Pelodiscus sinensis: one gene and its partners. The main gene of each other region encodes a partner of the protein of the gene in region 2 in a complex. Links are inferred from orthologs where the notes say so. Each region holds a gene or a part of one and is shown on either strand. Other genes may lie near its edges. The genes, in order: GTF2E1, GTF2E2, POLR2B and GTF2H5.

What was found.
Region 1: the proteins of GTF2E2 (region 2) and GTF2E1 are in contact, whole or in part, in a crystal structure (PDB 5GPY), measured with the Homo sapiens proteins. The link is inferred for Pelodiscus sinensis from reciprocal best matches to the Homo sapiens genes GTF2E2 and GTF2E1. Residues at the interface, in NP_002086.1 of Homo sapiens: Asp159, Gln160, Arg161, Gly162, Leu163, Gly164, Gly165, Leu167, Leu190, Val192, Asn193, Arg194, Pro195, Ile200, Phe202, Cys208, Gln209, Phe210, Ser211, Val212, Asp213, Glu215, Phe216, Gln217, Leu219, Trp220, Arg221, Val223, Thr224, Val225; in NP_005504.2 of Homo sapiens: Arg16, Lys19, Tyr20, Val21, Arg23, Gly24, Phe25, Tyr26, Ile28, Glu29, Leu32, Arg39, Leu51, Leu52, Lys53, Phe54, Asp55, Gln58, Gly68, Asp69, Lys70, Phe71, Lys73, Thr98, Asn101, Val102, Val103, Lys104, Tyr105, Lys106.
Region 3: GTF2E2 (region 2) and POLR2B share a complex: the UniProt entries of both Homo sapiens proteins name them as parts of the TBP-based Pol II pre-initiation complex. The link is inferred for Pelodiscus sinensis from reciprocal best matches to the Homo sapiens genes GTF2E2 and POLR2B.
Region 4: GTF2E2 (region 2) and GTF2H5 share a complex: the UniProt entries of both Homo sapiens proteins name them as parts of the TBP-based Pol II pre-initiation complex. The link is inferred for Pelodiscus sinensis from reciprocal best matches to the Homo sapiens genes GTF2E2 and GTF2H5.

What each region holds. Positions count from the first base shown.
Region 1 is NC_134711.1:142,369,045-142,376,547, reverse strand, and holds the start of GTF2E1 (general transcription factor IIE subunit 1), read left to right. Parts: upstream 1-4,490; 5' UTR 4,491-4,629; intron 4,630-7,503. Other genes in the region: RABL3 (rab-like protein 3), read right to left, coding at 2,104-2,195, 4,275-4,410.
Region 2 is NC_134715.1:5,047,589-5,055,112, forward strand, and holds the start of GTF2E2 (transcription initiation factor IIE subunit beta), read left to right. Parts: upstream 1-4,521; 5' UTR 4,522-4,687; intron 4,688-7,524. UniProt on the Homo sapiens protein: Recruits TFIIH to the initiation complex and stimulates the RNA polymerase II C-terminal domain kinase and DNA-dependent ATPase activities of TFIIH. Both TFIIH and TFIIE are required for promoter clearance by RNA polymerase.
Region 3 is NC_134715.1:614,130-622,103, forward strand, and holds the start of POLR2B (DNA-directed RNA polymerase II subunit RPB2), read left to right. Parts: upstream 1-4,970; 5' UTR 4,971-5,113; coding exon 5,114-5,132; intron 5,133-6,812; coding exon 6,813-6,885; intron 6,886-7,529; coding exon 7,530-7,680; intron 7,681-7,974. Other genes in the region: NOA1 (nitric oxide-associated protein 1), read right to left, coding at 956-1,120, 3,501-4,743. UniProt on the Homo sapiens protein: Catalytic core component of RNA polymerase II (Pol II), a DNA-dependent RNA polymerase which synthesizes mRNA precursors and many functional non-coding RNAs using the four ribonucleoside triphosphates as substrates.
Region 4 is NC_134713.1:112,364,416-112,371,875, forward strand, and holds the start of GTF2H5 (general transcription factor IIH subunit 5), read left to right. Parts: upstream 1-4,445; 5' UTR 4,446-4,577; intron 4,578-5,525; 5' UTR 5,526-5,604; coding exon 5,605-5,639; intron 5,640-7,348; coding exon 7,349-7,460. UniProt on the Homo sapiens protein: Component of the general transcription and DNA repair factor IIH (TFIIH) core complex, which is involved in general and transcription-coupled nucleotide excision repair (NER) of damaged DNA and, when complexed to CAK, in RNA transcription by RNA polymerase II.

The DNA of each region.
Region 1 (7,503 bases), on a different chromosome or scaffold from region 2:
TGAAATGCACAAGAGTCCCCAGAAGGGGCTCTTGTGCATTTCAAAGCCATGCAGCCCAGAGTCAGTGGGGGACTCAGTCCCATGCTGACCCAGGCTCCATGCTACGCTGCATGCCACTAGGAGCCCGGGGTCAGCTGAAGAATCCCCAGCTGACCTCAGGTTCCGCAGGGCACTTCCCTGGAATCTGGGGTCAGCCGGGTTGTGAGGATATGTCCCTGACCAGGGCTGACCCTGGCCTCGAGTGCTGCCCCTTTAAAATGCCACCTCTGTGTGATTCAAAGGGACAGCCCGCCACACAGCTGATCCACGTATCAGCTGTGCAGCAGCCACCTTAGGGTTTCAAAGCTGTGCGGCGCTGCCACTTTGAAGGACTCCCCCACCCTTTGCTGCCTCTCTCTCATAGAGGCAGCAAGGGGGTGGGGGGAATATCAACTAGTCAAAAGGCTATCCGATAAGCAAATGCTTATCGGATAGTCCACTAGTCCTTAACATCCCTACCCCCAGTGCAGAGAGACACATGGAGCAACCAGCCACTTTGAGAGGCCTGTGGCTGCAGCAGGCAGGGAGCCTGTCTGAGTCTGCAGTGAGGCTTCCAAAGGCTTTGTGGTCCAGTTCTTGCCCACCTCTGATCTAAAGTCTCACTGCAGTGCTGAAGAGCGCACTGCTGTTTCAGCATATGAAAAGATGAGGTTCTGATCTCCTGTGATCATTAAAGGACATATGGTAATAGTTGCAAGATTAAGATTAGCATTGGCGTCCTGGCAAAAATCCAGATTTAATTATTATCTTCAGCCTCTTTAAAATCTCCCTGAAGTTTCAACTGAATTCAGTAATCATCACTTCTCCTTCTAATGTCCAAAGTTTTGCTGTGCACTTTAAAAACAAATGCCAAATTTCTTTTAAAAAAAAAAGTTGGAAAATGTGTTTTAGTATCTTTTGGAACGAAAAATGTTTTTCAGACATTAAGATAGTATCATCACTAGCCTCAGGCAAGGCATGACACTGGAAACAATGAAATATACCCTCCCATGGCCATTGTATGTTTCTCATTATGCCATGTGGATGGTTCCTCATACATTTCTCGATTTCCCAAGCCATTAGCTTCTGCTCTCAGCAGGTGATAAGAAAGAGGCAACATTTCACCAACGATCTGCTCATTAATGATATGAGCAAAACATTCTTATGATATAAACAAATTAAATTAAATCCTTTTCTATGTTTGGCTGACTCCATAAACGTGAAATTAAGCTATATGTGGCAACTGATACCCAGGAAATTCTGAAGAATTGAATTTATTCACCCACTGATACTAAATTCACTACTCAATGAATAATAAAAATCTCTATATATAGTTCAGAGATTTGCGTGTGTCTACAAGTCCGTTTGTTCAAGAACTCCTCCTAAATGGTAACAGCTAGGACCAAATTTGGTAGGCAGGTTCCTCTCATCATAACTTAAACCAAGGTCAGGGTCTGATTGTTCCAGGAAATTTAGATGTGCCTAGAATTCAATTGTTTTCCATTATATGGAAAGGGGGGGGGGGCTGAGTGGAGGAATGCAATACTGCACTGTGACCACTGGGGGGCAGCAAGCACTGAGGACAGCTACACCAGGAAACCAGTGGCCAGCTGGGTATTGGGTTTGTCATCTTGCCAGCCATCAGCCCAGGTAAGCAGCCACCCCCCCCTTCCACAAACCCGTACTCCAAGCCCTTGTCGCCAATGCTAGACTGGCAGGAGCCCCGCTGGCACTGCTGCCGAGGCCACTGTCCAGAGCACTATCAGAGCTGTGTAGCGCAGCCCTGGCCCTTCCGTTGGTAATGAGGAAAGAGGAAACTAAAGATGACAGGTAAACCCCTTCCATTAAAAAACTGACCATGAGATCTTTTAATGTCAATACAAAATAGACTTCAGTGTAAGTATTTAAGTCATCATTTGAAAGACTCACTCATAGCACACTTAGATAGCTTGGAAGTATCTTGGGAGATCTGAACCTTTAACTCTAGAGACAACTGCCCAAACTGTCAAGAGATTAGATGGTTAATTTCTTTTAGCTTTTGAAGCACAGACACATTATTCACTACAAGTTTAGAGTTTCACCTACTCGGACGTCCACCGAGCAGCCCACAGTCCAAGACGGGTTTCCCAACACCTGGTTTTGGCACAACAGATGAACAAGTGAAGACTTTCCAACACCTGCAAAACAAACATTAACTGAAGCTGCATAGTTGGCAATGCATGATCCTTACATTTGACAGCAATACCAAAATAACATTGTGTTTAAATCTCAAGAGGGATGATAGCATAATCTTCGATCTATTTAATAAGGTGGAATAATCTTGGTAAATCAGATAAAAAGGCTCAGCAGTCAAATTCTAAATATAGTACAACTTAATATAAAACAATGTACTCGAGTAGAAATAGTATTCGTACTAAGTATAACTTAAATGGCTATGAACTGATTATCAGAGCAAAGGATAGTGTTCTAGCTGTATTGTTAGACAAAACATTTAAAACTATGATCCAGTGTGCAACAGCAGTAAAGAAAATACTAGTGAGAGGAATACCATGGGTTTCTCTACATTAGAGTGGAAGGTGAAATGTCCAATTCAGGTAGATGTTTGAGCTCGTGCACTAAAACAGCAGTATAACTGCAGGTGCACAGGCTGTGGGATCTGCTAGTTGCCTCAAATACAAGCCTGTCTGAAGCCCATCCTGCTGCCTCTACAAAAAGCCTCAGTGGCACTTCTATTTTACACGAGCTCCACCAGAATACTCACATGCTACCCAAACTAGAAATTACTCCTCCAGCTCCACTGTAGACATAGCCTACACATGAAGTAGTTTGTAAAATTAAGGCTAACTAGCATATGGGCTTTTGTCAAAAGAAATACATAAGTCTGAAGCTATTGTTTATATAAAAACATGTAAGCCACATTTGTATCACAGTATCTAGTGCACCTTATCTGAAGAAAAATATAACTGAATTGGAGAAAGTGCAGAATTAGACACCAAAAATGATAATGGATTAGCAGGTGTTAAAAAGGCAGGGATAGTGCTAACGCTGGAAGTGAAGAGTGGACAATGAGAAAGCGACATAATTGAAGTACTTAAGAATTTAAACTGGGACTTGTTCTAAAATTAAGCTTACATCTAAGAATTTACACCATGCTCATAATTCAGAATATTTCATATGTTAATATAGGCCATAGTTTAACAATCTACTTGAAGTTTCCAGACAGACCAGAGCAAGTGGACATGAATATAAGAGAAAACAGAATTTTACAAGGCCGAGACTAACAGGTGGAATGGATTTTCAGTCAAAGTGCAGAGCCAAACAATGAACACAGGTTTAAGCAAAAATTGGATGACTATGAAAAGTATAAAATTCAAAGCATCGTCCATTCGGTTTGTACTCCACAGTGGCTGCTGTACTTCCCCATCCTCCAGTTGGTCCCGTTATTTTTGCTGGCTTATGAGAGTTTCTTTTGCCTGGAAATATCTGTCCTTCTCTGACTCAACATTTTTGAGTTTTTTTGTAAGCGCCATCAAACCGGCCCAGACACCCCAATGGGCTGTGCCGTACCCCACAGGGCTGCGGGGTGTTTTGACACTAGAGTTGTGTTTCTCACAGCAGGTCCCATTTGCTACCCGGCCCCGGGGACTTAGCAGACTCAGGCTGAAGAGGAGCGGCAGGCGAGAGCGAGGGGGCTGGAGGCGGGCGAGGAAACACGAGGGCGGGCACCCACTAGGGAAGGGAAGGCCAGTGGGGTCTGCACCGTCCTGCCCAACGGTCACCCCCCGCCCCCTTTCCATTCCACACGCGCCTAGGCCCCCGTTTCTGCCGGAGCGGAGCCCTAGCGCTGGCCCGGGCTTTGCCCAAGGGCGGAACGTTCAGAGGAGCCACGCGCCAGAGCTGGGCCACAGCCTACGGGGGGGGTGGGGGGGGTGGAGGAGGGAGCCGCGTCAGAGCCGGGGCACGTGGCAGGGCCCGCGTTCCAAGACAGCAGCTTTGACTTGCACCACTGCGCAAGCTCGAGCCGGATGTCGTTAGCGACGTCGGGGGGCGGAGGGGGAGAAGGGGCGGGGATTTGCTGGGACACTCGCTCCCGTTGCAAGGCACCAGGCGGGACTGCCCCTGTGCGGAGGTGGGGTGAAGCGGGAAACCCCTCACTCACCTGAGTCCCCCAGCACCAGCACCTTGACCCTGTCTAACGCAGCCATCTTACCCTGCCTAGCAACAGTCTCCCGGCACCGCCCCCTCGGACCACTCACTCATCCCATTGGCTGTCCCCTCACTTCCGCAAGCCTCTATGTTGCCGTCTTCGCTTTTGATTGGCAAATGTGGATCGAGGCGGGGCCTAGTGAGCTCTTCAGAGAACAATTGGTGCGCCTTCCTGTCAATGCTCATCGCAGCCGGAGATTGGGGAGCGTCGCCGCCTCCTATCCCCAACTGGGTTGGACCCAACAGGCTCGCGCCGTGGCGAGGGTGGGGGTGCCTCGTGTGTGCGTCACAAAGGTGCGCTGCTGCCGGGCTGGTGTGCGACGAGCGCTGCGTATGACGCGCCGTGACGCAGTTGCCGAAAGCGCCGCCCGGAGACGGAGCCAGTCCGGAGCGGCCGGCAGGCAGGTCAGTCCCGTGCTCTGGCGCGGGGGGCGGTTGCTGGTGCTGCCGCCGCCGCCGCTTTCCGTGCGCTGCAGCCGGGGCGACTCGCAGTGAAATCTTACCCCCCGTTTCCAGGGCCAGGCAGCGGCGGTTCGCTCCCCCCCCGCCCCCCCGCCCGAAGTAAGCCACGTTCTCTGGCTGTTGCAGCCGGACCGAGGCGCGCGGGGGGAGTTAAACGGCGCCGGGGCAGCCCCGCGAGACGCGCCACGTGCGTTGTGCGAAGCCGGCCGTGCGCCCCTCGGGGCAGCGCGCTTCGGGCCAGCGTCCTCGCAACCCCGAGCGCCTCCCTTTGGGCCCCATTGATGCTCCTTCTCAGGTCCAGAGGCTGGTCCTGAGAAGCGTCTGCTGGCGGGGGACCTCTGCCTGGCATCAGGCTCCCCCACCCCCCCCCCGCCAGCTCCTGACTATTCAGCGTGAGAGACGGATCGCTTTCTTCCCTCATCTTTCTGCTTTCCTAGTCGCTGCTTACACCTTGTTCTGCTAGCCAGCTTGCTGGGTAGTTCCAGGTCCAGAACTCAGGCGTTTTGCCTTAAGAATAAAGAATATTCAAAAGGAGATTTTGGGAAAAGTAATGGGGTGCAAGGAAATACATGGTTAGGTTAGAGGAATTATAGAAGGGGGATTTAGGCAGGCTGCTATAATAGATTTGGAGATTAAGTTTAGGAAAAGCACAGCTAATACAGTGGGAGGGGGAACCATCAGAAACAACACACACAATGGCTGTGTCTAAGAGACTGGCAAGTGTTTCCGGAAAATCAGCCGCTTTTCTGGAAAAACTTGCCAGCTGTCTACTCTGGCTGCTTGAATTTCTGGAAAAGCGCTGACGATCTCATGTAAGATCGTCAGTGCTTTTCCGGAAATACTATGCTGCTCCCGTTCGGGCAAAAGTCTTTTTCCGAAAGACTTTTTGCGCAAAAGGGCCGGTGTAGACAGCACAGGACTGTTTTCCGCAAAGAAGCCCCGATCGCGAAAATGGCTTTTGCGGAAAAGCGTCCTGCCAATCTAGACGTGCTTTTCCGAAAATGCTTTCAACGGAAAACTTTTCCGTTAAAAGCATTTTTGGAAAATCATGCCAGTGTAGACGTAGCCAATAGGTGGAAGGAATGCCATAAGAGACTGAGGTGGTGAGTAAATAGGTGGTCTCATATGAGACCAAGAGGTGGTGAGTGATAGAGGCTGTCTACACTGTAAGCTTTTGCTGCAGAAAATATACTAATGAGGGGTTCATTAATATGACTCAGGTTGTCGTTAGCATATTTTCTGTCTGTTGTTTTTGTGCAAAAAGAAGCAGCATAGCTGCTTCCATTTTGCGCAAAACCCCCTTTTTGCCTCAAAAAATCCTAATGCCTCAAAAAAGGTGTAACCAATCTTGCGCAAAAAGGGGTTCTTGCACAAAAAGGAAATCTCCACACTGCTGGTTTTTGTGCAAAAACTGATCAGAAGAGCGTATGCAAATGCAGTGCAAGAAAATGCAAATCTGCACTTCATTTGCAGTGCCTCTTCTGGCAACACTCATAGGCTATGTCTACGCTGGCGGGTTCTTGTGCCAGAAATATGCAAATGAGGCTACACGGCCCCTTGCGCAAGAAAAACCCTCTTGTGTAATGCCTCTACGCTGATTATTTTCAGGAATAACAGCATTGCACAAGAGGGTTTTTCTTGAGCAAGAAGGGGCAGTGTACATGCTCCTTCTGGTGCAAGAGCCTCTTCTGCAAAAATGGCGGCTCATTAGCTATATAGATGAGGCTTGGCGATATTCCAAGCTTAGCCTCATTTGCATATTTCTGGTGCAAGAACCCACCAGTGTAGACATAGCCAGAGTGCAGATGAGACATGAGTTTGCAGCTGCTGAAAAAATGCCTACCTCGGATACCAAATGACAGGACTTACCCTCCCACCTTTCTTGGGATACTTATTCCTATCCCACTTCAACTAACTAGTTCTCTGCTTTTGCGGAAAAACTTGCCAGCTGTCTACACTGGCCGCTTGAATTTCCGCAAGAACACTGACTATCTCATGTAAGATTGTCAGTGTTCTTGCGGAAATACTGTGCTGCTTCCATTCAGGCAAAAGCCCTCTTGTGCAAATGCTTTTGCGCAAGAGGGCTAGTGTAGATAATGCAGTATTGTTTTGCACAAAAAAGCCCCGATCGCAAAAATGGCAGTTGGGGCTTTCTTGCGCAAAACTGCGTCTAGATTGGCACGGACGCTTTCCCGCAAAAAGTGCTTTTGCGGAAAACCGTCCATGCCATTCTAGACGCTCTTTTCCACAAATGCTTTTGACGGAAAAACTTTTCCGTTAAAAGCATTTGCGGAAAATCATGCCATTCTAGACATAGCCCTTATGTTTTGTAGATTCTCCCTCATATGAGTAATGGTATGGAATTAAGACTAATAATGTGCCTTTTCAGCCACCATCGTTTTCTCTTCCTTCTTTGTGTTTATCATCAATGTTCATAAACTGTCATATGCCCCCCCCTTTGTTCTTTAGCTGCACTAAATATTAAGAGCCAGATCATTCCTCATACAATAAATAAGTCAATTCCTTTAGCCTCTTGATTACTCTTGTTGATTTCCTCTGAACTGTCATATCCATCAGTTTGTCAATTTCTTTCTGAGAATGTGGTGCCCAATGCCAAATAAAACGTTCTAGGTACAGTTGCATCCAAGATATAAAGAAAATGAGTTATCTCCTTATCAGAAGTTGTGCAAGGAGAATATACTGAGCCTTTTGGCCTGTATAATGAAATCATATGAGTCTTTAGAAAGGATTCTGAGATGTATGAGAAACATATTACTAAAATAGACCCACCATCTTATTAACTTCATTGGAAAAAAT
Region 2 (7,524 bases):
CCTTCTGGAGGGAAGGAGCCAACCCTGCTGCTGTTTCTTCCATCTCTGCCACCCAACCGTCTCTGCAGCTACAGCCAATCAAGGGACCAGGGAGCTGAGGCTGCTCCTGGCAGAAGGGAATCAGAAGAGGCAGCTCTACCTGGCCTTGGGAGGTGTCCTGTTCTGTGTCCAGGACCGTGTTCAGAGCAGCTCTCAGGAAGTGCATGTCCAGGTCTGGCTCTAGGGTGGGTTTCATGGTGCTGGCAAGGGAGAGGAGCTGATATTAGACTGTGCAGTGCAGGGGTCAGACTGTATCTGACCTCGGGAGGGAGCCTCTCCCCAAGGTCTCTTTGGGTATGTCTAAACTACATCCCTTTTTTGATAAAGGGATGTAAATTAGACATATTGAAATTGTAAATGAAGCCGGAATTTGAATTTCCTGTGCTTCATTTGCATAATGGCGGCCACAACTTTTTTTTTTGAAGCCACTTTTTGAAAAAAAAAAACGTGGCTAAGACAGGGATCTTTCGACAGAAATGCCTCGTTTCGAAAGATTCTGTAACCCTCAAAAAATGAGGTTAAATAAAATGTGACAAGAAAAAAAAGACAGTATACAAAGTTTGTGGTTAACAATAGGTAGATTTACACAGTAGATAGTAATGAGGTCACTTGCTTTTCAATTGTATGTATCATGTTAGTTCTGTTTAACAAATGTAATTGATTGATTATAATTGATCTTGGCTTTCACAACATCCTCTGCCAAGGAGTTCCACAGGTTGACTGAGTGTTCTGTGAAGAAGTACTTCCTTTTATTCGTTTTATTTTTAGAAACTTATTTTAGTGGCATGAGAATGAGGACTGACACTGAAAAAAGAGTCAGAAAAAGAAGTGCTCGGAAAGCTGAAATGAGTGTATTTCACTTTATAGTATTAAATAGTAAGCAGCATATTTTTAAAAACATAATCACGTTTTATCAGAGTGCAACCTCACTACAGTATCCTACTTTTGTTTTAAATAAAAGTATTTAAGTTTGTAGTTTAGCAATGTGACAATAAATGGAATTCTAAAGGAAACTAAATGTATTTCTAACTCAAATTGGTGATAGACATATAAAAGAGGGTGAAAACTGTTGTAGGAAGGAACAACAGTGATGCTATCTGACCTCTTTTCTTTGTAGATCAGTAAAACAGTTTTAAAATATGCCATACTGGTCCCAGCATTATGGATAAGGAATATCATCTTGGAAAAGTATTACACGGTGTAATAAAAGTTATTTTGGGAGTGAAGATTCTTTAGAAACCATGCTCTACTAGCTATGCCAAAACTTTTTTTGTATGGGGCTATCTCAGGTGATTGGATCTCTGCTGTATACAACTGCTCCAAACTGAAACTTGATGTACAAGATCTTATCTTCCCCTATTGAATGCAAGGACAGTCAGATTTCTTTTTAAACAAAACTTCCTTTCATACATTAATAACATTTTAGCTTCTTAAAACAGGGAATTTTAAAATATTGAAAAGATTTTACAGTATTTGTATTGTTTACTTTTTGCACTTCACTTAGATTGGTCAATTTTTGTTTATAGTCAGGTTCACTTAAACATAAGAATGGCCATGCTGGGTCAGAACAAAGGTCCATCTAGCCCAGAATTCTATCTTCCGATAGTGGCCAATGCCAGGTGCCCTAACGGGAATGAAAAGAACAGTTAATCATCAATTGATCCAATCCTAGGAATGCGTCTACACAACAACGCTGTTTCGGAATAATGGACGTTATTCCGAAATAACTTTGCGAGCGTCTACACAATTCTGTTATTTTGCAATATCAAAATGACGGGCGGCTTATTCTGGATTCTGTAAACCTCATTCCACAAGGAGTAATGCCTCTTTTGAAATAATTTTTTTTGGAATAGCAGTAGTGTGAACACTCCACTGCTGCTATTTCAAAATAGCTCCTCCCCCAGGCCCATTCAAAGTAATTACTCCCTAGTGCTTCCTGGGGCTCTACATTGAGGTAGTACATCCAGATTAGGGGAGCCTGCCCGAGACTAATTTTGAGGCTTCCCTGTAGTGTACATGCACAATCTCGAAATAAGCTATTTCAGAGTATTTCTTCCAAAATAGCTTATTCCAAAATAAGTGTGCCGTGTTGATGTAGCCTGTTTGCCCAGTCTCAGTTCCTAACAGAGGCTAGAGACACCATTCCTACCCATCTTGGCTAATAGCCATTGGTGGACCTATCTTCCATGAATTCATCTAGCTCTTTTTTGAACCCTGTTACAGATCTTGTACTTCACAACATCCTCTGCCAAGGAGTTCCACAGGATGATTGTGTGTTTTGTGAAGTACTTCCTTATGTTTGTTTTAACTTGCTACCTATTAAGAACTTTCTTCTTCCCCTGCATAAGCACAATATTTCAGCCTTTAGCTTTCACACATTACCAGAGGATGTTTAAATAAAAACAGGGAGTTAGTATTTTGGTTCTGAGTAAATGTAGACCATTTTCTTAAAGTATTACCGGTAAGACTTTTTGTAATAGAGGCTCCAGTAGTGAGTGATTCCATAAGTCAGGTTGAGTTGCACTTAGCATTTAAAGCAACTTCTCGTTATGCATAAAAAGTACAACATATTCTCCCCAAACTCACTACACTTAATATCTGAGTTTTTAGTGAATTTTCTAAGAATGTGCAAGTAAATTTTCTAATTAGAGTTAAAATTGTGCATTAAAATATTCCACATTTTACCAGTCTTCACTGTGACTTAAATTATGTTAATCATGGAATATAATATAGATTCTTCAAATTTTCCATATAGTTACAATTATAAAATATAGGAACATGAACTTTTGAATGAATCGATCAATTGTTATTAGTGGCCAGATTCACCAGTACAGTTCAGCTGCTTTTGGATGCTCAGCTGAATTGATTAATCTGTTCTTAAAACTAAAATATATGGGTTGACCCACTCTAGTCTGGCACTGTCTGGTCTGACAACATCCACAATCTGGCCTGATTTTTGTTATATGGATGGGTTATATGGATGGGCATAACCAAGTTTCCCACTGTCCCATAAAGTTTGTTTACAGTCACCAGCCTTGGCTGTCAGTGTTCTGTGCTGTTTAGTTCTAATTTATCCCTAAATGTCTTCTAAAACCCCAATAAACAGTGGGGCTACGTCTACACTGGCACCCTTTTCCAGAAATGCTTAAAACGGAACAGTTTTCCGTTATAAGTATTACCGGAAAAAGTGCGTCTACATTGGCAGGATGCTTTTCCAGAAAAGCACTTTTTCCGGAAAAGCGTCCGTGGCCAATGTAGACGCACTTTTCCGGAAAAAAGCCCCGATCGTCATTTTCGCAATCGAGGCTTTTTGCGGAAAAGACTACTGTGCTGTCTACACTGGCCCTTTTCTGGAACAGTTTTTCCAGAAAAGGACTTTTGCCCGAATGGGAGCAGCATAGTTTTTCCGGAAAAGCACTGACAATTTTACAGTAGATCGTCATTGCTTTTCCGGAAAAGCAAACGGCCAGTGCAGACAGCTTTCAAGTTATTCTGGAAAAGCGGCTGCTTTTCTGGAATAAGTGGCCCAGTGTAGACACAGCCTGGAAGTGTTGGTCATGCTGCTAGACAATACTGACCTTCTATCAGATCCTAAGGGTGCTGGACTAGAGCCACTCAACCCGTATTAAGATTACCTTTACTTATCCTCAAATCATTGGAAATATTGTTAGTGCTTTCAATGGGCTGCTTGTTTCGTACTTATATAGGAACATTTAAAACAAAACAAAAATCCAGACCATACCCTTTCTCTTCTCTCTCCCCCTCCTCCCCCCAAACAAATACTTTCTACATGTTTTCAAGTATCAGAGGGGTAGCCGTGTTAGTCTGAATCTGCAAAAGCGGAGAGGAGTCCTGTGGCACCTTATAGACTAACTGAAGTGTTGGAGCATAAGCTTTCGTGCATCTGAGGAAGTGGGTCTTTGCCCACGAAAGCTTATGCTCCTACACTTCTGTTAGTCTATAAGGTGCCTCAGGACTCCTCGCCGCTTTCTACATGTTCTGTAAGTTTACAAAGTGCTACCAGACTATTGGTTGTTTTTTCAGTTTACCTTCTATTGTGATTGTTTTGGTCTGGGGGTTTAAATAAAAGCTCAAATGCTTGGCTCGAGCAAAGCTGCCCTTACAATGGGTCACCAGGAGGGGCGTGCAATTCAGGGCATCACAGCAACAGCTAAGACAAATTTAGGAGCTATGATGAGACTTCAGGTACAAATGGATAAGAGACTTTTAAATCCTCCCGGGGGTTACAGGCTGGCTCCCTCCCGCGCTGCATGGCCTGGGGGAGACGCTTAGGGCATTGCGGCTCCTGTGCTGCTGGTACGAGTCCCCCCTCCGCCCCCAGCCCGGCTTTGCACAATCCACACGGGGCTCCCTTGCAGCCCCTGCTCTGCCGCTCGCTACAGTTAATTGACGCGCCGCGAGCCACGTGCGGGCCGAGGGAGGGCAGCGGCTCTCACGGCGCCTGCGCAGTTCCAGTGCGCACCGCGCAGGCTCCCTGCGCCCCACGTATGGCGTTCTGAGCTGACGCTGTACCCGGCCGCTGGGCCAATAGGAGCGCAGCAGCCGCCGAAGCCAGCGTCGTCCCCCCCTCCTCCTGCTCCCCCGTGCCCCCCGCCCGCCTTCCCGCGTCGGGCGGCCTCGCGCGCCGGTGAGTTCTCGGGCGCGAGCGGGGCGGTTGGAGCGGGGCAGCCTGGGAGCGCGAGGGCGCCCCCCTCCCACCCCGAGCTGCGTAGGCGGATGGGTCCCGTGTCTGCCCCTCCCCCCCCGAGCTGCGTGAGCCGGGGGGGGGTCCCGAGTCTGCCCCCCTCGAGCTGCGTGAGCCGGGGGGGGGTCCCGTGTCTGCCCCTCCCCCACGAGCTGCGTGAGCCGGGGGGGGGGGGGTCCCGTGTCTGCCCCTCCCCCACGAGCTGCGTGAGCCGGGGGGGGGGGTCCCGTGTCTGCCCCTCCCCCACGAGCTGCGTGAGCCGGGGGGGGTCCCGTGTCTGCCCCTCCCCCCCGAGCTGTGTGAGCCGGGGGGGGGTCCCGAGTCTGCCCCTCCCCCACGAGCTGCGTGAGCCGGGGGGGGGTCCCGTGTCTGCCCCTCCCCCACGAGCTGCGTGAGCCGGGGGGGGGGGGGTCCCGTGTCTGCCCCTCCCCCACGAGCTGCGTGAGCCGGGGGGGGTCCCGTGTCTGCCCCTCCCCCCCGAGCTGTGTGAGCCGGGGGGGGTCCCGAGTCTGCCCCCCTCGAGCTGCGTGAGCCGGGGGGGGTCCCGAGTCTGCCCCCCTCGAGCTGCGTGAGCCGGGGGGGGGTCCCGTGTCTGCCCCCCTCGAGCTGCGTGAGCCGGGGGGGGGGTCCCGTGTCTGCCCCCCTCGAGCTGCGTGAGCCGGGGGGGGGGTCCCGTGTCTGCCCCCCTCGAGCTGCGTGGGCCAGGTGTCCTGCTTTCTAACCCCCCCATTGCATTGGTTGGGGGGTTCCCTCCCCCACCAGCGCTGCACTCCATGGCTCGGGAGAGTCTCTCTCTTGCCACCGAGCAGCAGGGGGGTCCCTGCCTTCTCACCTGCCCCTACACAGCTGCGGGGGCCACAGGGGGTCCCTCCTTTCCCCCTCTTGCACAGAGGCGACTAGGCCCGCCAAGAGCTTCCTTGCACCACCCCCGCTGCCCCCAGCTGCATATTCCCAAGGAGAGCCCTTCCTTCCCCTCCTCCCCCAAGGGTTGCAGGGCCCAAGGAGAGCCCTTCCTTCCCCTCCTCCCCCAAGAGTTGCAGGGGCCCAAGGGGATCCCCCTTTCGCCACTCACTCACAGTCAGAATTAGTTACATTGAGTCAAGCTGTTGTGCAGAACTGGCCCCAGGGATGCTGTAGTCCTGTCTCGACAGCTCTAATAGAAAACAACAGCAGGGCTCATGGGTTTGCTACTTATTGCCAAGTGTCACTCAAACCAGAGGAGCTAGAATAATTTTTATAATGTGGGTGCTGAGAACCATTGACTTTAACTGTAAGTCCTGTGTAGATATAATGGAAACCACTTCCGTACCCTCTACTTCCAACATCTGATTCGATCATCATGTTCCTATCCGAGTCTCTCACCAAGTCCATGGCTTCTTCCTGTAGTGGTGGCTTGCTCAAGTGTTGTGACAGTAGACAAGTGATTAAACTGATGGTGTCCTGTGTAATTATCCATGAGCACTAGCAAGGGGGAAGCACAGAGTGTAGGGAGTCCCCTATCTATCCTTGGTAACCTATAGCATAAGGTAACGAGGTGCTATTCCATACCATTGACATCTTGAGTCCTATAGGGGTCTTGGTTATTTAGACTGGGACTTGGGCGTCTAGTAACATTTTCCAGTTGTATGGGACCATGGGAAACATGGCCACACTCATGATGAGTGGACATCGAGCTAACTAAAATCATACCAGACCAGAGAGTACTAGAATAGGTTCAAGCTGTACACATTTCAGGAAGGCCAGGGAACCTTCCTCTCCCCACCCTCCAATCCAGTCACGCACACACCTAGGTGTGCAGAGGAAGGGAGGTGGGTGTGCATCTCTCCCTCCAAAGTCTATGCATCCGCAGTTTATAGATAGCAAGTTGCTAATATAGTTGTAAAATATCCTTTGTCTTTTGTAAAGGTCCTAGAATGGGGCAGTGGCACATGAACTATACTTGTCTTTGTTGTAAGATATTTTCTACTGTTTGTTTATTCATATTCCCATAATGCTTAGCAGCCCTAATCATTGAGCAGAAGCCTATTGTGCTAGATGCTGTACAAATAGAAGAAAAAACAGTCGGTACCCCCAAAGAGCTTCCTTTCCAACCTTACTAACAATTTAAATAATCAAGCAGAAACCTGGATGTAATTCAGTTTTCGTTGTCCATTTGTACTTTTAGTTATTTTCCCAAAGAAAAGTTGATTTTCCGTTTACACTAGATGTGGTGCTGCTTATTGCTAACTAGGGGTATATGGTGTAGCTATTTACATTTAAGCACTTATATAGCTTGATTTACATTTAGTTCACATTTTTAGTTTTTACATTTTGATTGTTAGAAAATCATGAATGATACATTTATTGTTTTACAAGATGATTATTTTTTTATTATTTGTGCCAAGCTCTATTGGCAAGGAAATTCACATTTAAATTAAAGTGCATTAAGTGGAAATAGCATTTTAAATTGTCCGAAGTGCTGAATTCATAAAAAATTAAATTTTCTCAACATGTTTTGTATTTAAAAGTAACTAATATATTAAAGGAAGTTGTCTGTAGTTTATGCATTGACTTGTGATCAGTTCTGGTCACCATGTCCTTGTAGAACCAGTACATCCCATCCTCTCACACTTTGCTTTCCTTTTTCAGTCTATAAATAAAAACTAGCTTTTATTCAGCTTCAATTCCCATTTGATTTATTAACATTGAATAGACTAGTAATTGAACTGAACTAGTTGAATAAATTGACATAAAGATAGATTTTTTTTTTTGCGCCTGTATCAAAGACTATTACTGTCAAA
Region 3 (7,974 bases), about 4.4 Mb from region 2:
CTGTTCTGCCGTTTAACTGCCTATTTAATTTAATTGTGCAAGTGCTCATTTGAGGTGTGGATGCTCCCCGGGTTTTTGCTCAAAAACCTTGTAGTGTGGACGTAGCCTTAGTGTATTACAGTAACCCAAAGGACCCCAATTGTGTTCCCATTGTTATAGTCATCACCGAAAACACCAACCTTCACCTTTCAAACACTTATGCATGTGGTTAATTCTATTTGTGGGAGTACTGATTCGGATGGAATTGCTTGAATAAATGTAGGATAAGGTCCTTGGTTTGCAGCAATTACAGTCTGTGCAAGAAAGTATTGCCTGCAAAGCTTACAAACTACACAAAGCTCTAGCTCAGTGTTTCTTAAACTGTTCCGTGGCACACCAGTGTGCTGCAAGGTAGTCGGAGGTGTGCCGTGGAGAAAAACAGAATTCAAAATGGCCACCCTTAAAGGGGCAGGTGACTTTTTTTAGGCTCAATAACTTTCCCCGATCCTTCCCCCCCCCAATAACTCCCCCCTCGATTTTTTTTGGGGGGGGGGGGGGGTTCTTCGGTCTTAAAAAGTTTAAGAAACACTGTTCTAGCTGCTTGCTTGCCTGCCTTTAATCGGTTAGCGGTTACTCAATTAAACGGGATTCTGCATCCCTAGTTCATTCCCTCTGGGGCACCTGGCATCAGCCACTGTCGGAAGACAAGATGCTTGGCTAGACAGACCTTTGGTCTGATCTAGTATGGCAGTTCTTATCTTTAATGAATTCTTATTCTGATATATTGTTACACTATCGCATACACTAATAACCCAAATCTGAATTGTATCACAAATGCATGCTGGCTAGCAATTTTTACTAATCAAGAGTGCACTTTAGATACTAACATACCATACAATAAAGTTTAATTGAATCTTTAATGCAGTATCACCATTTGCTCTTAAGATTTAAATATTCTCTCTCAGATAACACTCACCTATTAAATAACCTTGCTTTTTAAGGCATTTAAGATATTTTTGTTCATCACCACTAAGTTGTTCTTCAGTTTTTTCTGCATCTGCTTTTAATCTTTCCTGTCTTCTGAACAGCCTGTCAGGTGTAGGATTAATAATTGGAAATTTCAGGAGATTTAAGGTTGTGCCTGAAAAATAAATGCCAACGTTATCCAGGTCTATGATTGCGCAAATTAAATATAGTATATAAAAGCAATTAAATGTTAAGGTGCAAACAGTGAAAAAAGCCACATACAGAACAAATTTCACTGGCTTTATGATGGCCTCATTCTTCTTTATGAAACAGAAAAACAATTACACAATAACAAAACTAAAGACAACTGCTAAGTTAAAGACTCTTCTCAGAAATTACTGTCCACAGTGGCTAGGACAACACTATGATGTTGGACAACAGTTGTTAGCAGTTGTGTTAGCTTCTAGGAAGCCAATGTGCTGAGCATGATACGAATGGGTTGCACCTATACACACATCCTTTTGCAAAGAAACATTACTTGTGGTACAACTGCATGAAAACTAGCAAAATTCTTCACAATTAAGACCTAATCCATTTTGCCATTATCATGATTCTTATTTATGGCAATTAATTTACTGAAAAATAAACGATAAAAGCCAGACATGAAAACTATCTTTAAAAACTATTGCAAGTAAACAGAACTTTTATAAGAGCAAAACCTGGTGTTTCTTTCAATTTGCCTTTAAAAGTGATGCGCAGAGAAAATAGGACTGTGGTCATTTAGATTTGATTTTTTTTAACTTTATAAATTAATATCTTGTTTGTAGCTTTTTCCCCCCGGAAGACACCATGGCCTTTTTGAGACTAGGAAGGAAGATATTTTTTAAAAATGTGTTAGCTAACACTAATGCATTTTACAATCTTAGTACAGTGAATGAAATTGTATCATTTATAATTTTCAGACAGGTTGCCATGTTAGTCTGTTTCAGCAAAAACAATGAAGAGTCTTTAAGGTGCCACAGGGGACACACATTTATTTGGGCATAAGAGCTTTTATGTGCTGCAGTCCTCTTCATCCGGTGCATGAAGTGGAAACTACAATTAGGTGGGGAGATATACACAGATGCAATCTTGTTATAATCTATAACGTTTTAGCTAACCAAGGTCAAGATTATGGGGGAATGGAGTGTCAGTATGAGTGTCAAGAACTGTTACTTTGGGGCACCTACTATCTCAACAGGATGCTACTAACACCATTGCTAGGTCACTTTCCACACAAGTGCCAGACTCACTGAATAATGCCACTAAAAACTAGAGAGCCCTGTTTCAATTAATATTCTTCACTATTGAACGAGACTGGTAAATATTTTCCCCAGAGATTTTGAAGCGCGTTTGGCCAAATAATAGGACCTGGAATTTATGGGTTATGTTTTGAGAAACGGACATAATCCTGACATGGGACTTGCTATAGTCAGTCCTGGCCAGTGCCAAAAAGAGCCCCATTAGACTGAAGGACCGGGAAGAGGATTAACATCTGATATTAAAATACATCACACCAGTACTCTGCTCTCTGCAGGTCACTTTGCAGTTTAGTTCTGTCCTGCTGTCTGACTGCTTAGCCTTTTCCAATACTGATGCTGCCTGAATTTTTGATATTGGTAGAACGGGCAGCAGCGAGAATGAGACACCCATGCTGAAAGCAGAGAGGAGCTAATGTTTGGTTCTTCAATTTGTCAAGCAAACCTCTGAAAATGTAAAAGTTCTGCACTGGGACTGGACTACAACTAGGAGATGTGCTACTGCTTGAAGCCTGACAGATAATTCTCCTCCGTGAAATACACAGCTCTGAGCATCACCATAACATACCAATGTTGGAAATCAAATATAAGTGTTCAAATGGCAGATTTACTACCCACTTCTCAAACTAACCCCCAATCTTATCTCACAATCACAGCTCTTCTAAGCTGCCCCAAATTATTCCTTTCTATTAAATACAGCTACATCTAACCCTTAGACTGCATGCAGATGATTCCCATTGGCTAAGGCCAGCTTCACTAGGCTGAGTCAAGTTACGAGTTTTCAGAAGGTTTGAATCGTGCTGAATTTGAAGTTCTGGAAAGGCATGAGCTACCACCAGACAACCTTATCTCTGTGCTAACAAAGGTTTTTGCCATTTCACATAGCTAAAGCCTTTATCATAATGCCTATGCACGAGACCAACTTAAGGTAGCACAGGGCAAGCTTACCGCTTGCATTTGTTAGCTACTGAGTGCTTGATTTTGCAACCTTAAAAGTTCTTTTGCCAACTTTTTTTGGGGGAATGTTATTATATACATCACTACAAGATTTGCCCCACGTTACTCAGGTGCTTAACTCAAATATATCTGAAAGTCTCTCAAATATATAGTAGATAACACCCAAGAGTCTGCAGTCAAGAACAGGCCCCTATATAAAAGCCAGTTCTTACCCCAAAAAGAACTTGAGTTTTTTTAAATTCTTACCCCCAAAAAGCTTAAACGGATAATGACAGAAGTCCCCATCCATGCCCCTCTCACCTGGCCAGGGCGAGATTGTTGCTCGGTTGATCACCTCTGGGGCTTTGGACTTGCAGTAGTCAGACTGCAGCAGAGTATTGAACAGTGTGGATTTGCCAGAGTTGGTAGTGCCTATGAGATACACATCGCCATTGCACTTCCAGGAGCGCTGCAGCTTGGAGATCAGCTCCTCCACGCCATAGCCTGTCTTGGCACTGATGAGGTGCACATCCACCAAGTTGTGGCGCCCAGTCCTGTCAGCCTGGTCCCCAATGCCCTTGGCTGCAGGGAGGATGCCCAGGCGGGCACAGCTCTTCAGCAACAACTTTCGGAAGCGCTTCAGATAGTCTGGAGAGTCCCCAGGCAACAGGTCCACCTTGTTGCCCACCACCAGGATGTTTGACCCTGCACTCACCAGCTCAGGGAGGTCTGGCAGCACGGAGTCCGGTAGGTCCAGCATATCAACCATATACAACACCAGGGGGGACCGACCATGCCGGGGGGGGCTGCGCAGAGCCGCGCTAACCAGGCTGCGGTATTGCTCCCGGGTCACCTGCATGTGCTGTGCCTGCTGGTGATGGACCAGGAGCCAGCAACGTTGACACACCACCCCCTGCAGGGCCCGGTGTACCTCCGAGTCCCCCAGGGCCCCCAGTCCGTCTGAGCCCCCTGGGGTTCCCTGTGCCCCCAATTCCACCGAGCCCCCCAAAGCCTCCTGGGTCCCCAAACCTTCCAAGCCCACCAGGGGCCCCAAATCCTTCGACCAGCTTGGGGCATCTTGTGTATCCGATTCCTCCAGGCTCCTTGGCCCCCCTAAACTTTCCAAGCCCCCCCGCGGCCCCAGCTCCGCCGAGCGCCCCGGGCCCCCCCGCGGCCCCAGCTCCCCCGGGCCCCCCCGCCTGCCGGGGCTCAGGAGGCCGCGGTACTTGTCGCTGGGCAGGAAGCCGGGCGCGGCGGGGTCCCGGCACTGCAGCTCCGCCCCGCAGCCCGAGCAGCTCACCCCGCTGGGGGGCACCGAGGGGTCCGGCCGCCCCGGCGCCCGGTGCTGGCGCTTGGGCCGCGGGCCGCGGTCCGGGCGCGGGGGGGCGGGCGGCGCGGGGCCCGGCTCGGGCACGTACTCGGGGAAGACGAACGGCTCCTCCTCGCCGCGCGGCTCCCGCAGGGCGGCCAGGGCCCGGCGCCCCGGACACAGCGCGGCGGGGGGGCGCGGGGGGGCCCGAGGCCGGGCCAGGGCCCCCAGCAGCGCGCGGCTCAGCCGGAGCATGGGGGGCGCGCGGCGGCTCCGCTTCCGCTTCCGCTTCCGGCCACGCGCGGGGACAGCGAGAAGAGCGCCCCCTGCCGGGCAGTGGGTGCGCTAGGCTCCTCCCCTCCCCACTGCGTCCGATTGGCCCGCGCCACCCACGCGCTCCGGGAGGGGCGGCGCACGCGCGTTGGCCGCACGCCCCGCTAGGAACTAGTCGCGCGGTGGCTGTTTCCGGCGGAGCATAGTGCGGAGACGCCAGCCGGGAGCCGCACGCAGCCGCAGTCCGCGCCGGGTCTCCTGCGCGTGCGTGTTGGCGCTCCCCGAGTCCCTCCATCGCGGCGGCGGGTCCGAGTCCGTGGCAGCCGCTGAGGCCCCCCCCCGCACCGCCAAGATGTACGACGCGGACGAAGGTGAGCGCGGGGGTCCGGGCCCTGCTCCGTCTCCCCGGGAGCCCCGCGCGCTCAGCCAGGCGGGTGCGCGCGCAGGCCCCGGCCCGTGCCCGCGGCGTGTGCCCCCCGCGGGGAGCCCTGCGCAGCCTGGCGCCGAAAGGGATGGACCCGCCCGGCACTTGCATCACGTGCCCCGGCAGGGCCTGTGCGTGTCAGTCCCTCTGCCCCCGGAGCAGGCCCCGCCCAACGCCTCGGACCCCAGCCCGCGCGCTTTAGTGCTCTGCCCCAGGCACCTCCTGTGCGGGTTTACAGGCCCTTCGCAGCCACAGCCAGGGGTGTTAGAATGGGGGCAATGGACGAGTCAGGTAGTGGGTGGAATGTCCATCGCTAGTCAATAGGCACTTCTGCATTCCTCCTTTGAGATGTACAACAGGGGTTAGCCGGGGAGTCCCCGCTGACCCCGGGCTCCAAGGCTGCCTCTTTGAAACACGCGGCGGTGGCGTTTCAAAGGGGCAGCCCTAGAACCCAGATTCCCCAGCTGATCCTGGGCTCTTCATGGCATTTCCCCAGAACCCAGGGTCAGTTGGGGAGTTCCCAGCTGACCCCGGGCTCCACTGAAATGCTGCGGGGAGCTTTGGCGTTTCAAAGCATCAGCAGCACACAGCTGATCCCCGGCTCAACTGTGCAGCGCTGCCGCTTTGAACTACCCCATCCTCCTTCCTTTTGCTGCCTCTCATAAAGACAGCAAGGGGGAGTGGAAATCGACTAGTCTACTGATTATCTGGTAAGCAAATGCTTATTGGCTAGTCGACTAGTCCTTAACATCCCTAGCCCCAGCCAGGATCTCTCCCCTCCAGGGACAATCCCCAGCAACCCTAAAAGCAGCCTGTTAGATCCAGGCCCCAGCATGCTCTCAGTAACAGGCTGTAGCTACAACACAACAGCTCCTGGTCTGGAAAAGGCTCTACACCAGCACAGCCTGGCTCCTCCCTCCAAAATGGAGCTTACTAGCTCTCTTCGTCCATGCCTGGAAGAGCCACCGTTCCTTCCTTCTTCCCAAGGGGACTGCACGGGTAATTGGACAGGCATGTGACTGTTCTAATTTCAGCCACTACATGACTATTCCATAGTCCCTGGGGGCAGGGCCAGCAGCCAGTGTGCTCCCCCCTACTCCTGGCCCCATTCCTATGGAGCCCCCTGCTACCCCACACTGCTACCTCTGAAGCCCCAGATATCAATGAACACAAATGTTCCCCCTAATCTTTTCCATGCATGTGCTGATTTTTCCATCCATATGTGGAATAAACTTTTTATGTGCCCTGAGGCATGTGCCAAAGTGCACCTAGCTGTGGATCCTCTCCTAAGCATCTGGGCCACATTTGAATTTCTAAAACCAACTGCACAAGTGCACAGCTTACACTTAAGCCTTACAGGAAACATTGACCAACATTCCATGGTGCTAAGAGCTGAGCAAATACAGAAAAAAACATGGTCCCTGCCCTAAAGATCTTACAGTCTAACTATTACAGGAAAGCTATGAACAGAGCCTATTGTTAGTCCTCTTACAGGTTTTATTAAGCTCATTAGATTGTAGAAAAGCAAGGTATTTATGTACAGCTGTTGGGTAGTTAGAAGCTATATTCAGCCAAAAAATCTTGAATGAATAGAAAGACTGACCTGAGTGTCCTACTTTCTTGGCAGATATGCAATATGATGAAGATGATGATGAAATCACTCCAGATCTATGGCAAGAAGCATGCTGGATAGTTATTAGGTAACATTAATATTTTTAGAAAGTTTGATAGTAGTGAAGTAAACAGGAAAGTGCACCCTTAGCTTAAAAAAGGATCTAATATTTAATGTGATGAAAGTTCCAAGATTTCATATCCAAAATCATAAATGTTTTCTCTTTAAGAATGAAAGAACTGTTACAAAGAGAGAGTATGAGATTTTAGACCACTGGTCCTATGTATAATTAGCCAAAGATGAATGGTTTTGAAAAGTCAGAGCCCTCCTAGACAATCTGAAAGGTTTTTCTTGTAAATTCAGCACTAACACAATATTTTCTGTTACTGCTTGTGAGTGTAGAGCTACACTATGAGATTACTGCTAAGAAATGCAAAATAGTGAATTGGCAAGTAAAAGTCCCGAACACACAATGTCTTGTATGTGGGTCATCAGGGAACAAAGTTGAGAGATCGGGACATAAATATTTGGCTGTTTTTGAAAGTTTCTTTGGAACAATTGTATTTCAACAGTGTGCTGTGAGACAAAAACAAGAACAATTACATAGAGCAATAATGTGTTTTGATTAATTATAGTATGTTTATCTTGAATTTTAAAACCTCTTGATTACATATTCATAAACTATGTTAACTGAGAATTTTTGTTAATTAATGTTCCTGATTTTTTTCTAAGCTCCTATTTTGATGAGAAGGGCTTGGTCCGACAACAGCTGGATTCTTTTGATGAGTTCATTCAGATGTCTGTGCAGAGAATTGTAGAAGATGCACCACCTATTGATTTACAAGCTGAAGCTCAGCATGCTACAGGGGAAGTTGAAGAGCCGGTATGAGTTTCATTCTTTTAATTGTACTGATGTGAAAATTGTGCTGGGGACTCTCATCACAGTTGAACAACTGAAGGCTGCCGCAGCAGATCCAATTAGTGCGTGATATAGCTAAAAAGGAATGCATATGCTACCAGCAAGGGAATGAATGGATCACTAAATAAAGCAATGGCAAAAATAGTTTGTCTGTAACACACTTTATCCAGGGTGAGAAACACAAAAATGTTCAGCACTCATAAGTGGGGTCAGATATTCAAAAGGGCTCAGCTCCCATTGTTCTCATTTGGCACATTA
Region 4 (7,460 bases), on a different chromosome or scaffold from region 2:
ATTCCAGTAAACAGTTACAGAGTTAATCTGTAACAGTGACGGAAAACACCGCTATTCCCCTATCCTTTGTCATTCTTTTGTCTTCAGTGACAAGAACAAGAAAGACAAGGTAGGTGAGGTAATATCTTTAATTGAATGAACTTCTGTTTGTGAAGGATAGAAGCTTTTGAGCTTCACAGATCTCTTCTACAAGCAGAAAAACAAGTGATTACTCTAGAACAGATCTGTCTCCAACCCAAAAGTTTAGTTAGCATTCTGCCTGTTTTCACCACAGGGTTTAGGGCTATTAACTACTGGAATTTAGGACAAACATGGTAGTATGATTTGACAACACTCACTTTTGCAAAATTATGTAAGGTCCTAACAAGAGAATTCCAGAATCACTAGAATGATGCAGGAAGCAAGAAGTTTTAGTCCCAGACAATTTTATAGCTATAAGCATCCTGATGTCACGAAGAGGAACAACCAGACACATTAAAATGCCATGCAAAGGGAAAAATTGATCTTATGTGCTTTTTACTTATTTAAAACATGTTAATGAAATCCAAAAGATTATTTTTATTTTTGCTTCATCCCCATTCCTCCTTCATATTATAAGATCAGGCCTTATCTAACCTTGGAGACGCTACAACAGCCCCCCCTTCCTCCCTCCCCCCCCAAAAAAAATTAGTGGAACAGCAGACAAGAGGCAACAGAGTGAAAGCTGAGCAACTGAGAGAGAAAGTGATTTTTAGTCAGGATGCTTAGGACTGGATACTTGTGTTGCCTTTATTAAGTACTATTTAATGCCAAACATCTAGTCAACATTTCAGAAAAAGAGTCTCTACTCAAAGCAACTGTAGCCAGACAGGAACCCTCCCTGTAACATCCATTTTTGCTTGTCTGGAGCATACAGGGCACACAGAGCAGAAGGCCCAGGCTGTGTGACCGTGAATGGCTGTAAACAAAGATACGCCAATTGCTGACCAAGAGGCTGCCAAGGAGTGCCCTTGACTTAACCCATATTGATACGAACACACAGCCGTCCGCGGGGGGGGGGGGGGGGGGGGAAGGAATCTCTCGCCCAGTAAAAAAAATGTCTAGTACTCACAATTTAGTTATCTCTCTTGCAAGTGTAAATTAACTTGAAACTTGCTTGTAAGAACTGGCGCCACAATACGGACCAGTACAATTTGGCCTCTTAGATAAGAAAGAGGATATGGGCCCCCAGGGATATAAAGATGGGTCCAGCAGCACATTTACTCTGAGTGTCAATCTACCATCTATCTGCTGGTCGGGTTAGGTGTTTGATCTCCCAAGGTTCTACAGGAACGCCCACCTCGTATTCGTCTTTCCTAGGAATTGAGAGACCGGCCCTGGCCTGACATGCTTAAGTGGAGAGGCACAGAAGGGGGTAAAAATTGTACCTGGATGTGGTCCTTTGTCGTAAATGTACACATAGATTTAGAGCTCTTTAAAGATTAAGCTGTCACTTAGTACCATTATTTCTATTTTCTATCTTTATTTTCTTTGTAACTATTTTTAAAATCTGTATTTGCTAACAGTTAAGAAAGAGAGCAATAGCCATTGTAACCATATGGTTTTATAAGTCTTTTTAATAAACCTGTAACTGTTTAAGTTTTTAACCTGACTCCTTCAGTTGCTGTAACAAAACCAAGCACAATTTAAAAGAACTTCAGCCAGTCATAAGGAACAGGTATAGGAAGAGCTTGGGCGTTTGGATTTGTGTCACTCCCAGGTGACAGGTCCGTTGGGGCACCTCTCAGTCTTTTCCTAAGGCTGCCCGCTGCGAAGGAATCTTGCATTCTAGCAGCTAAAATCTAAGGTGTAATAAGCTCTTTCTATAAAGGGGCATCTGTTGGCCTGCTGGCTACCCTCTGCGACGGGACCCCGGTCCTAGCAGTAAAGACACGGACATTAAACCTTTTCTCGAAAACACACACACACATACTGCCCTGACTGTCGGCTGACAGCAACTGAACATGCCTTTGTTAAAAGGTTGAGTGTAGAACAACCCGGATTTCTTTCTAGAACCATTTTACCTATCACCAAGGGCCAAAACAAGGGCACAAGCCATGTCTCCCTTTGTATTCCCCCAAACCCAGAATCCTCCCCCCCCCCCCCGTAGCTTCCTGAGCGTAGACCCCCCCAACATAAGAATGATTATACAGGGTCAGACAGATTGCCCATCTATCTCCCTTTCCTCCATCCCGACAGCAGCCAGTACCAGGTGCTTCAGAGGGAATTAACAAACAAACAGTGATCCATTTCCTGTCCTCCAATTCCAGCTTCTGGCAGTCAGAGATTTAGGGATACCCTGTGAATGGAACTGCATCCTTCTTGATAACAGCCACTGATATATCTGTTATCCATGAATTTATCGAATTCTTTTTTAACCCACTTATATTTTTGGTTTTCACAAGATCCTTAGAAAGGAATTCCACAGGTTGACTGTGCATAGTTTGAAGAAACACTTTCTTATGCTGGTTTTAAACTTGCTGCTTATTAAATCATCAGGTGACCCCTAGTTGTGTTACCCAAAGGCATAAATAAAACTTTCTTATCAAGTTTCTCCACCTCGTTCATAATTTTATATCTCCCCTTGGCTGTGTTTTTTCTAAACTGAACAGTCTCAGGTTTTTTTGTCTCTCTCCTCAGAATCTGTTCCATTGTCTTAATCATTTTTTACTCTCCTCTGTATTTTTTGCAAATTGAATATATCTTTGAGTTGGGGCAAACAGAACTGCACATAATGTTCAAGGGATGGGTGCACCATGGATTTATAAAGGGATACTGTTATATTTTGTGTTTTTTTAACTAACCTTTCCCTAATGGTTTATAACATTGTTAGTTTTTTTTTTTTTACTCTATCTACACATTGGGCAGATGTTTTCAGAAAGCTATCCATGATGACTACAAGATCTTTTTCTTGAAAAGTGAAAGCTAATTTAGACCTTAATATTTTTTATATATACAGGTAGTTTGGATTATGTTTTCCAATGTGAATAATATTGTATTTATTAACATTTAATTTCATCTGCCATTTTTGTTGCACAGTCACCCAGTTTTATGAAATGTCTTTGAGACTCTTTGATGCCTTTGAGACCCTTCACAGTCATCTTTGGACTAAATTATCTTTTGTAATTTTTTTTAATCTGCAAATTTTGCCACATCATCTTTCACTTCCTTTTCCAGATCATTGCTGAATATGAGCAGTCATAGTAGAGATATTTGGTGTGGGAAGGGCTATTGCTCTCTTTCTTCTTATCCCTTGGCTAGAACATAAGAATGGCTATAAGAACTGGGTCAGACCAAAGGTCCATCTAGCCCAGTATCCTGCCTTCCAACAGAGGTCAATGACAGATGCCCAACAGGGAGTGAACAGAACAGAGAATCATCAAGCAATCCCTCTCCTATTACCCATTACCAGCCTCTGACAGAGGCTAGGGACATGATTCCTACCCATCCTGGGTAATAGCCATTGATGGACCTAACCTCCATGAGTTTATCTAGTTCTTTCTTGAACCATGTTAAAGTCCTGGTCTTCACAACTTCCTCTGACAAGCAGTTCCACAGGCCAACCATGTGCTGTGTGAAGAAAAAACAGTTCCTATCTTTTAACTAGTTACTGTTTTCAAAAGAGAATCTACCTCATATCCCATGACTGCTTACTTTGCTTAAGAGACTTTGGTAAGATACCTTGTCAAGGTTTTAATAAAAGTCCAAGTATGCTATATCCATTGGATCATCCTGCCATCTGATACTCTCAAAGAATGCTAAGTCATTGGTAAAGTATGATACCCTTTTCCAACAGCCATGTTTACTCTCTACATACCATGTGCTTCTGTGTGTTGAATAATTACTTTTTTGTTCTAACCAGTTTGCCTGAACTTGGGCCCCAGCCTGTAACTGATAAGACCCCGCAGGAGCCCCCTGCAAAAACTTCATTTAACATCTCCACAACAGCCTTGTCTTCCTTGAGTGCTTCTATGACACCTTGATCACCCAGCCAAAGGGCTCCGCTGGGCAGGTTTCCCACTGCTGCTGCAGCGTGTTTTAGTTTGCTGTTTGTTAGTTTTACTCTTCTCTAGTTGCTCTTCAAATTCATTTTGGGTCAGACTCGTTATAAGCTGCTGCCCCCCCCCCTCCCCACACACACACACGCTGCTGCTCCCCGCATTGGACACTTACCCTGCCCCACCTGCAGCCCAGCTTCCCTTCAAGCAGCCCAGAGCCCGCACCCTATGAAGCTCCCGTGCCCCCCCCCCCCCGCCGCTACCCCAGCACAGGGGCTCCCAGAGCGTCGCTCCCCACACGTGGATGGGCCAATACCCCCCCCCCATTACCTGCCCCGCTCCCAGGCCGCTGCCTCTCTCTCCCGTCTCCCGACAGCTGTCAACTACGCCCCCGTGTGTCGTCACCACGCAAGACGGGCCTGAGCCAATCGCCGTTTAGCGCGAGGCCGGAAGGGAGCCGCGGCGCCCGCGCGTGCGCACTCTCGCTTCGGTTCTCGCCTGGGGGCTCGCGCGGTTGCTGGGCTGGGAGCCGCTCGCTGCGTCGTGAGGGGGCGGCCGCGGGTAGGTGGGGGCGCGCGAAGGGAGGGTATCGGGCCTCACGCGCTGCCGCCCCCCCCCCGGCCTTGGCGCAGCCCCATCGGCTTCACCTGCTCCCCCCCCCCCCCGCGCAGCCGCCCTGTGCCTGCCCCGATAGACCCGCAGCCGGGGGCTAGTCTGCGGGGAGCAGCAGTGTGTGTGCGGGCGGGGGGGGGGTCTGTTGGTGCGCACGAGGGGTTCCCTGGTGCTCTCCGGTGCTGGGTGTCGGGTGCTGCATTACGCTGCAGTGATTGCCCGTTGCGATATAGACACTGTAATGAGTGAGACTGTATAGTTTAGATGTGTGTGAAACGTGCGCTACGTGTTACACTATGTGCTTGAAAAGCTAAAAGAAACCGCTTTGCGGGGGTCTATATACAACTCAAACTGCTAAAATAAACCCCTACATGAAGTGAGTCTCACACACCCTTAAAAACTAGAAGCCCTGCTTATCGTGAGACTCACTTGTCTATTTCTTTGTATAACTTATTTGCATAATTTCTGTAGTTCTTCACAAGATAGAAGATTGTATTACTAATTAGTATGTTTATTTCATTACTGAAGCAAAATGCAGGACAATGTAGCACTTTAAAGACTAACAAGATGGTTTATTAGATGATAATAAACCATCTTGTTAGTCTTTAAAGTGCTACATTGTCCTGCATTTTGCTTCAGCTACCCCAGACTAACACGGCTACATTTCTATCACTATTTCATTACTGTAATGCATGAAACAGTCTCCCCTCATCTGTTAAATGTGACACACTCTTCTATAAAAGTAAGATTATCATGTAGGCTAGGATTTATGATGTAAGCTTTTGTTTATATGTTCATGTAATTTTCACTAATCTTACAGTGATTTAAAAGTATACATGCCAAATTTGAATGGCCACTTTGGTCAACAAAAAATCAGTTATTTTTTTCTCTTTTCAGTTTCTCTCTGCCTACAAGCATAATTCAAAGCAAGATCTATTTTCTGCCACATTTGGGCTTTCTAAGTGTGTTGGAGAAGATGGTTAATGTCTTGAAGGGTGTTCTTATAGAATGGTTAGTACTTCTGTCTTCAGTTGAAATTCAGCTTTTCTTAATTGTATAGTTCCTCAAACATCCTAGCCACTTCACAGAACATGTAGAAGCTTTGCTTCCTTCAGTGTCTCTCCTGTGCCTCTTGCACTGAACAGAAGTCTTAGGCAAATTCTGCTTAGACCAGTATGCAACTGTTTGCAATTTATAATCTAGATAGCCCCAAAACAGCTGGCGTGCGAGCTGCCTGAGCAGCAGGGACTGTTGCACCCCAACAACACCATCCTGAAAGGAGGGGGGAGGGCACGGGGAGTCCCAGGAAAGTGAAGCTCTGTCCCCTCGGGAGGAGTTGTCAGCACAGCATTGTCATCCTTTTAAGCCTCATAATCTCTTCCAGCTTCCTCCTGAGTTCTGCACCCTTTGCCTCCTGCCCTGACTCCTGCTCCCTCACCTCCCTACCCTGAGCCCCCCCCATCTGACTCTGTGCCCTGAGTCCACCCCTCCTGCCTTCACTCTATCACCTTCTGCCCTGAGCTGCCCTCACAAACCTTCCATGCCCACACATCTTAACCCCTACCCTTTACCAAGAGTCCCCCATATCTCTGCCCTGACTCCAGCCCAGCAACCTTATACTCCAACCCTAATGCCCCACACCAAACCCTGTGCTCTCAGCCCCCCACCTCCTGCCTTCCCGGCGGGCTGGTTCTCCCTCATTTCCCCTCCTGATTTTCCCCAGCCAGCCCCCCTGCACCGCCCTCCAGCTCTGCTTCCTGCCAGCCCGTTCCTTTTCCTGATCTCCCCCGACCAGTGCCGCTGCACCCCCCCCCCCACCAGCTCTGCTTCCCGCCCCCCCACCAGCCTCGTGGTCCCCCAGCTTTGCTTCCCGCCAACCCACGATCAGGTGTCCGGTTTTTGGGGAGGGGTGTCTACTTGGTAACCCTACCGGAACCAGCAGCAGCATCCACGTGCTAGGGGGAGGGAGGGTTGGGTGAGGTGCTGGAGGGAAGGAGAGGGACTGGTTGCGTGCTGACTGGGGCAGGGGCGGACTGGTCAGGCGGGCTTTCTGCTGAAGGGCCGGCTGGCGGCGGCCCCAGTGCTGGCCAGGGCACTCTGTGGGGCCGAGGGAGAGCCTGTGTTTATACACCGTGGAACAGTTGAGAGGGGAGAAGCCCCGGCATCTTCCCTCTCAGCTGGTTTGAGCTTTTTAATTTTTGTAATAAACACCAAAATTCCAATGATATTTTTAATAAAATCAAAACTGAAAACAAAGGACCTTGGCTTTGTTTATATAGCTAAAATCAGACAAGAACTAGAATATGTAAACCAATGATATTAAACTGTAACTGTCCATAAACTCACATTATACATGTTTTACTAAAAACATACAATAATGTTAGTCTTTAAAGTGCTACATAGTCCTGTTCTTTGTTTCATAATACCAATGTAATCATTATTCTCTGCAAGTTAGGCTACCAATTTTCTTCCTCTTGGGCCCTTCTAGCTAGTCACAGTTTAATTTGTAAAATGTCCCAACAGGGTCACTTTTGCTTAAAGGCTTTCCTAAAAGTTATTCTTGTAAAAAGATGGATGTAGGCAACAAACAAATCTTGAGATTGAGGTTATACGGGAAGAAGTTTTTAAGTTCCATCATTCCAAAATTGTTTTACTTAATACTGTGTTGCTGTATTTTGTCGCTGCCAATAATATGGATTCTGGTGCATGTTTGTCTACAGTGACCCAGCCATGAAGCAGTTCCTACTATACCTGGATGAGTCAAATGCCCTGGGAAAGAAATTCATCATACAAGACCTAGATGAAACGCATGTTTTTGTGTTGGCTGAGTTG